2 linked regions of the Xenopus tropicalis genome follow. The protein of the gene in region 1 interacts with the protein of each later gene in a pairwise test. Links are inferred from orthologs where the notes say so. Each region holds a gene or a part of one and is shown on either strand. Other genes may lie near its edges.

What was found. The genes of interacting proteins can lie anywhere in the genome.
Region 2: the proteins of rgl2 (region 1) and rap1b interact in a two-hybrid assay, tested with the Homo sapiens proteins (2 studies listed by BioGRID and IntAct). The link is inferred for Xenopus tropicalis from reciprocal best matches to the Homo sapiens genes RGL2 and RAP1B.

Annotation. Positions count from the first base shown.
Region 1 is NC_030684.2:72,113,019-72,116,669, reverse strand, and holds part of rgl2 (ral guanine nucleotide dissociation stimulator-like 2), read left to right. Parts: intron 1-1,142; coding exon 1,143-1,239; intron 1,240-1,531; coding exon 1,532-1,798; intron 1,799-1,875; coding exon 1,876-1,984; intron 1,985-3,273; coding exon 3,274-3,467; 3' UTR 3,468-3,651. UniProt on the Homo sapiens protein: Probable guanine nucleotide exchange factor. Putative effector of Ras and/or Rap. Associates with the GTP-bound form of Rap 1A and H-Ras in vitro.
Region 2 is NC_030679.2:58,775,375-58,779,576, forward strand, and holds the start of rap1b (ras-related protein Rap-1b precursor), read left to right. Parts: upstream 1-1,344; 5' UTR 1,345-1,430; intron 1,431-4,202. UniProt on the Homo sapiens protein: GTP-binding protein that possesses intrinsic GTPase activity. Contributes to the polarizing activity of KRIT1 and CDH5 in the establishment and maintenance of correct endothelial cell polarity and vascular lumen.

The DNA of each region.
Region 1 (3,651 bases):
AAAGTGCTGGCATTCAGCCAAATTCTAACACAATTTTTAAATTTATATATCTTACATATTACATGTTTAAAACTACTATAACTGGTTTCTTTTGCCTTATTAAGTTATCTATATTAATCTCTCTACATAATTTAACATAATCATGTAAAAGACTCAAACCCCTACAGCACTGGCAACGAAGAATTTCTCAACCAATGGAGTGTCAATAGTCTGTTATAGAGAGTGACAGTACTGCTGCTTAAAGGAAACTATACCCCCAAACAATGTAGGTCTCTATAATATATTGCATAAACAAGCTCATATATAAAACCCTGCTTCATCTACATAAGCCATTTTCATAAAAATATACTTATTTAGTAGTATGTGCTATTGGGTAATCCTAAATAGAAAATTGCCATTTTAAGAATTAAGGGCCACCCCCTCGGATCATAGGATTCACAGTGCACACAAACAAGCCAAGGGACACATACATGCTAGGCCCCATCAGCCAATTAATGGACAGAGTTCTGCCTTTTACTCCCACACTACTTCCTGTTACAGTTAGAGCTGCATTATTTCCTGTTGGATGATCTCTGAGGGAGCACACAGCCCATCACTAAATGGTGGCTCAAGGGAAAGGATGTAAAAGGGCAGTATTTACTGATATATATATTCCAGTTTGGCGAGATTCTTTAATAAGTCACTCAGCATAATATAAACTGTTAGTTAATTATTCATTCTGGGGGTATAGTTTTCCTTATTCTTTCTCTGTTTGCATTGAAAGATAGTTAAACTAAAACAGTTTCAAAATTTGAGTAAAGCCATTCTGTTTTAAAAATGACATGATTTTCAGGAAAACAATCCGAGAGAGTATGTCTTTAATATACATATTACATACTGTTTTACATACTATTAAGTGTAAAGTTATTGTGGTGAGAAATCAGTTTCCTAAAACAATTACGTGGATAAACAGACTGCACACAAAGCTCTTCAGCTAAAGCATTTCATGCTGGCCAAGCATACTTCAACCAGATGCAGCCTCAGGTCTCTAGGTCTGACATTCATTTATTAAATAAAATACTGGACAACTGCTAGATTTTCCTTATTGCATTTATAATACTAATATAATGTAAATATTCTTATTCCTATCTCTTTCCCTACAGCCTCCTGGCTGCCATTGCAGCCCCATTTGGACCTAGCATGCATGTAGTATCCTGGGATACACCTTGTGATAGACAGATGGCTCTCAGCCTTAGTCCGGTAATCAAACTTACTTTCTCTTTGTAACAAAAGGATATTTCTCAAAACCCAGAGAGTGCTAAGATACAAGTGCACTCTTCACATTATATACCTGCTGAGTAAGACTGAGGCCCAAGTGGTAGTGGCATGTTTGGAAAATCTTTGACTGCCTAAATGACATATTCCTTTAGCAAAATCTCCCTGTAAATTGCTCTGATCATTCAATAGTTGATTTGTTCCCCCTTTCATGTTTTTGCTTTTCCTTCCAATATAACCAGCATTTGACATAAGACTGCCACATTCTCATTAACAGCACCAGAAGAGCCCATCAGTGCCAGCTCTGGACACTCAGAGTTCACCAAAGCTGCCAATGAAAGGGCTTCTTGCATTAAGTCCAGTGGCACGCACTCATAGACGCTCTGCCTCATGTGGAAGTGCTATTAATGCTTCTGCAGAGCCTCATCCATCTCTGGACCATACAGCAGAGCATTCTTCACCCACTGGCTCCAATGCAGAACATCGCATCATTCGTGTGCGGGTAGAGCCAGCTGAGGAGAACAGTGTGTACAAAAGTGTGAGGGTAAGCAGGCAACAGGACTCAGTATTATTTAGAAACTGCCCATACACACCATATTAACAGTGGCTCTGCTTTTACAGATCAGCAGTCAGGAAAAAGCACCTGCAGTTATTGATCGAATTCTCAGGAAACATCACATGACTCCTCAAGGGCCACAGGAACTCATCCAACTGCTGCCAGAGGGCAAAGGTTAGAGTTTCACATTTACCTCAGAGGTGAAACTGAGTTGGAGCCATATTCTGACAATTGCTGTAGAAGCATTTTGACAGTAGAAATCAGTCATTTATTTTTGTAGCAAATTTCATATATGTGGTTACACAGATATTACCCCAAATATAAGTTTAGCATGGACGCAAATGTAATTCTAAGCAACTTTCAAATATGTATAAATTAAAAATGCTCAAGGCTTTTTAAGTCATTTATAACTGTACTTGCTATTTACAGCATTAGCTGTTTCTCATTTGCAGTTATTATTATTAACACGTATTTATAAAGCACCAACATATTCAGCAGTATTGTACAGTACCCTAGAGTACACATTTAGGGGCATTTTTATTACAGTGTGTAAGCCAACATCACCAGTGATGTTGCCCATAGCAACCAGCCAGGTCTTTGCTTTGGTTTTCTAATTTGTAGGTGACTGTTAAATCCTAATTGCTGACTGGTTGCTATAGACAACATCACTAGTGATGTTGGCTTACACACTGTAATAAATATGCCATTACATACAAAATAAATTGATAATCCATGCAAAACTTAGAGGGCCTTGTTCACGGTTTATGACTTCCCATGTACTACTCAGACTAAATTTAAAATTGATACAATGTTGCAGTAGTCAGCTGTCCCCCAGCCAAGACCCAAATTCCCATAATTTCCTTGCATATTCTGTGGCTAAAATACCTGTAATGAAGGGGAATATCAGAAGTGTGCAAGGCACCATAGGAAAATTAGTTTATTTATTGTTAAGTGTACTATTTCCGTGCCTGCAGTTTTATCATACTGCTCCCCTTTGTGTTGAGGGTTTATGTCTGATTGAATAAATCATACATGAAGCCCTAGATACCCATATGGTTGTGTGCCCAGAGGGTTGCTTATCATCTCAGTTTGATTCACATACCGATACTTTGTATATATGTGATAATTCTAATTGCACAGAGTATACTCTATACCCAGTACTCCGGAGCATGCCATAGAGACAGGTTATACATTGTTTACTTTTATAGACATATAAAACACTTGTAGATCCCACATAGGTTTTATTTTTCCATATTGCCACATAGTGAACCAATTTGTTTTGGTCCATGCAAAAATAATTTATCTGCTCCTGCAGCATAAATTTTCCTCCTTCATGGATTGGTCCTTTTTCCTTTAATGACACAGCTACAGCATATGGTAATGTCATGAAATTAATATTCTGGTGTTACCGAGACTCTGTTACTGAGTTTGTACAATAACAGTTATATTATTTGTCTCATCAGAATTGGTTATTCCAGAGAAAGCAAATGTTTTCTATGCCATGAGCTCTGCAAGCTTGGATTTTCTTCTCCGTCCCCGTAAGACTGTAAGTTCAGCATCTTCTACAGACACCCAGGCACCCGCTAAAATGCTCATCAGTGCCACAATCCCTAAGGTCAAAGCAAAGGCAGGAGACCTTGCAAGAGCACTTTTCTAAAGCTCACCATGAGATTCATCTGCTCCCAAAGTAAAGAGGAATTAAAAATATACAGGAAAAAATCTTATATTGAAATCTAAACACAACAGGATCCTGTGTTACTGACTTTACCAATGACATGTCACAAGCAGACATCACACTTTTATCGCCCAACAAGATGCTCCAGTACACTATGGCATACAAT
Region 2 (4,202 bases), on another chromosome or scaffold:
ACATAAACGAATGTAAAGTATATATCATGAACATATTTCATAGTTAATAAAAACAAAAAAACATAATATTAACAGGCACTCACACATGCATAAAAAATTTCCGCAATTTTTTTTTTTACCTTAAAGGAAACATATCCTATAAAAATGATGAATGTACCAGTAAATTATACTGCTCTAGATATAGAAGGAATGTGCTGAAAAAAGTTGTGTTTCAGACTGATTTATTGAGAAATTCCACCAAAACCCCACTAGTCCCGTCCATCCGCTCCACTTCCTGCTGGCTGAATTCTCTGGATAAGCTGGCGGATCTCAGTACACTACAGAGGATAGGAACCAATCAGCAGCTAGGCTGACCTGATAGGGAACTGAAGCCTGTCTGTGCTTGTGTGACTGCAGGGCTGTGATTGGCTATGCCCCCTCCTACTGTGCTTCTGGCAGGGACCGTTAGGAGAAGGGATAGGATCTATAGGGAGCTCCAATAAAGGGGCCATTATTACAGATAGGATTAATGTTTAGCCCAAAGGGAAACCAGCACCATATATTATTCATAATTGCCTACAAAATTAGGGTTTTTCCCATATATCCAATATGTCTCCTTTAAATTTAGGTAACGCCTGAGTTACACAGGTATGGTTCCAACTGTTCTTCCTTTTGTTACCCTATATCCCATCTGGTTAGGGACAGTGGTGTAATTTGATGTTACTGGGCCCCAGCACAGTGGTAATAAGACATTTCTAATAACCAGCTCATCGGTAAGTGCCCCAGCAATTGTACATTCGGCTTCCACTGTAATTACACCCCCGGTCATGCTATACAGGCGCTCACAGCAGCTTCACACAAACATAATCCCGATAGTAGCTCGTTTATACAGAGTGGGTGTGGCATATCATACCCCTATACAGCCGATCGTGTCGCATTGATAAACAACCAGCAAAGCGTCCCTGCGTATTACTTGTAATTTAAGTCTACAATTATATCTGAAAACCATGTGTCTAATTTTCATATATTTATCGTACCTATAGAAATATAATCTAGTGTTTAGAAGCAGAACATGTTCCCCTTATTAACAGAGCACAAATCAGCTTCTAAATGTAACTGTTTATAGCCTTCGTTGGAGCCCATCAATCCTTTGGCCACAACAGGTTGCACAGCGGCCACATCGGGCAGCCAAAGGTTTGTCGGTGGGACTCGGGTAAGAGAAGCCATGATGCGCGTGCCCGTGCCAGGGAAGGGCCAGGTCAGCGCTTAGCTGGAAGGCGCCGGGAGCGCGTACGGCGGAGAGCGAGAGCGGCGCAGTGACGTCACGGGCGAGCTGGGAGCCTCACCCAGGCTGGGTTGGTGGCGCTGTGTGTCCCGAGCAGAGGAGGACAAGCGGGCGGCAGGGGATCCCAGGCAGAGCCGGGGCCCATCCAGGAGAAGGAGGACAGCGGGTCAGTGATACTGGGAAATTAACTTAGGCACTAGGGCTTGTGTAAACGAAAGGCTGGGCGAGGGTTGGATGACCGGCCGGAAGAGGGGCAAGGAGTCAGGGCCCGGCCCAAGCAGCAGTTCTACCGAGGCCGGCTGGGTGCTAGATATTCCCGGATAATGGCGGAAAATTCTCATTGGCTAGTCGAGGGCAGTGTAGAGTAGGCACTGTGATGCGGACTTGCCGCTTGGTGGACCTTGGGCGTGCAGGCGGACTTGTGGCAGTGTCCAGAATGCACATGGAAGTGATAATAGCTTGTCACAGCACCCATATCCGCAAGTTAAATACCGATCCTAATGTGATAAACTACAACTCCCAGCATACTCTCAGTGGAACGGGGTTGGCGTTCAGAAATAGCCGCAGGCAGACAGATCTTGGTTTAGTGTGTCACAGTGATTGCTCCTTGATCAACATGCCTTCTTGGAAATATTATAAAATGCCTTTTATGGCAGAAAACTGGGATTCCTATTATGTCCTACCAATTTACAGCATATTACCATGAATGTATACCTTGAATGTGTTCATTTAGTGAAGAACAGGGGTGGAGGTTTGCAGGCTGTTTGCCAAACTTTGCTTTGTCCACTGTATGAGTTACAGCTAGCGCTGACAATGGGGCTTCATGTGCCTTTACCGTTGGATGTTGGTTATGGGTGACCCTAATAAGGGACTGGCTAATCTAATAGCTGTGCCACATCTTAACATCCTGTTTAGATCCCACACATAAGTGTGTGTGTTCTTTTGGGTGTGGGGGGTGGCAGGGTGGTGACAAAGATTTTTTTTTTTTACCTCATCCATCAGTAGATATGACAGTTGTGTTCAGCTATTGAACATACTGCCCACACTAAACTGCAACTAACATTCTTGAACAGCAGAAGAATTTTTGGTTCTTGTAGTTTAACCAGAGATGTAGGTTACGTGTTGAACATTCCTAATAAATGCACACTTGAAATGTTATTACTTTTTGTTAATAGCCTTAAGTTAATACTGTGTTTAAGCTAAACTCTTTATGAATGTGGTGAACAGGATTAAGCCCCCACCTAAATCTTTCGTAAGGAAAGATAGCAGTAGTCACATCAGAACAGCCCTTTTGTGGTCTGTATGGGGAAGGAAAAATGCTGTTTTCTGTTCCTATAAACTGGCCACTAAGCGAGTTGAGTAATATCTCTTGTATAGAGAGTGATCCATTTGTAAATCACCCCACAGATGAAACTAACAAAATGGGCCTTGGGGTGTGGCTTTGTATTGCTGTTGCAAGGAAAGGGTTAAGTTGACTGGTTAGCTCAATAGGGCAGGCTTGCAAAGTGTTGGGCAGCTAGTTATATCAGGAAGTAGTATCTCACTTGTCATGTTTATGTCCACATATTATTTTAAACTGTTTAGTTATATCCCTTATTAATGCTGATATAAATGAGACACTGCATTACACCATTTCCAAAGCTTAAAAGGGTGGTTCACCTTTAAGTTAACTTTAAGTATGTTATAGAAAGCCAATTCTAAGCAACTTTTCAATCAGTCTACATTATTTATTTGTTATTGTTTTTTAATTATTTGCCGCCTTCTAACTCTTTGCAGCTTTTGAATGGGGGTCACTGATCCTGGTGGGCAAAAAACTATTACTTTGTGAGGCTGCAGTTAATTGTAATTGTTAATTTATATTACATATCTTTCAATTCAGGTCCTCTCCTATAAATATATCAGTCTCTCATTCAAACCACTTCCTGGTTGCTAAGGTAATTTGGACCCTAGCAACCAGCTGTTGAAACTCCAAACTGGAGAACTGCTGAATGAAAAATTGAAATAATTAAAAAACTAAATAATAAAAAATGAAGACCAAATGCAAATTGTCTCAGAATATTACTCTCTACACAATACAAAAAGTTACCTAAAAGGTAAACAACCCCTTTAAGTAAAGCAACATATGCAGAAAAAACAGCATGTGGAAGTGTGAAAGCAAGTAAAGTCAAAACTTGTGAAAGGGAATGTAATAAGATGGCTTTATTGATTTAGCTCTCTTGCCTGAGAAGTAAAGAGAGAACATCAGATTAGCATTATGGTTGCTTCCTGTTGTGCACTACCGGTTCATGAAGCCTTCAAGTTGTGATGTGAGTTACCAACCGATAAAGCATTTCTGTAATTGTTGCCACAATTTAATGTTTGTGCCTATTTTATCTAGTGACAACTGCTATTAAAATCATTTAAAGTGACAATTACCTTAAAAAAAAAAAAAAAAAACACCTTCAGAACTCCACGTTACTGCTCATCATCCCAAGCTGTTTCTAGCCAGGGAGAACCACAGATAAATGGAAAGAGCTCATTGACTTTTTTTGTGCGATACCACCCTACAACATTTATTAAAGAGCAGAAAACAAAAGCACTCTTTGCTCTTCAATAAATGTTGTAGGGTGGTTTCCTACAAAAATAAACCCATGTGTCCTTTCACTTTAATCATGGAGCTTTATATAAAGACATTGAGGCATTACTGTTCATGCGCATTTTAAAAATGTCAGTATGGAATAATTTCCTTTGGGTAATAGTCATTTTTTGTGTTGTTTGATTGCTAGGCAGTAGTATATGGTGGAGGTCCCAAACTTGTGTACCACATTCAGATGTAAAAAGAGCCAGGGAGCAACACAAGCATGAAAATGTTCTGGGGGTTGCCAAATAAGGTCTGTGATTGCCTATTTGGTAACCCCTGTGTAGACTGTCATCCTACAGGAGGGTTTGTTTGGCATTA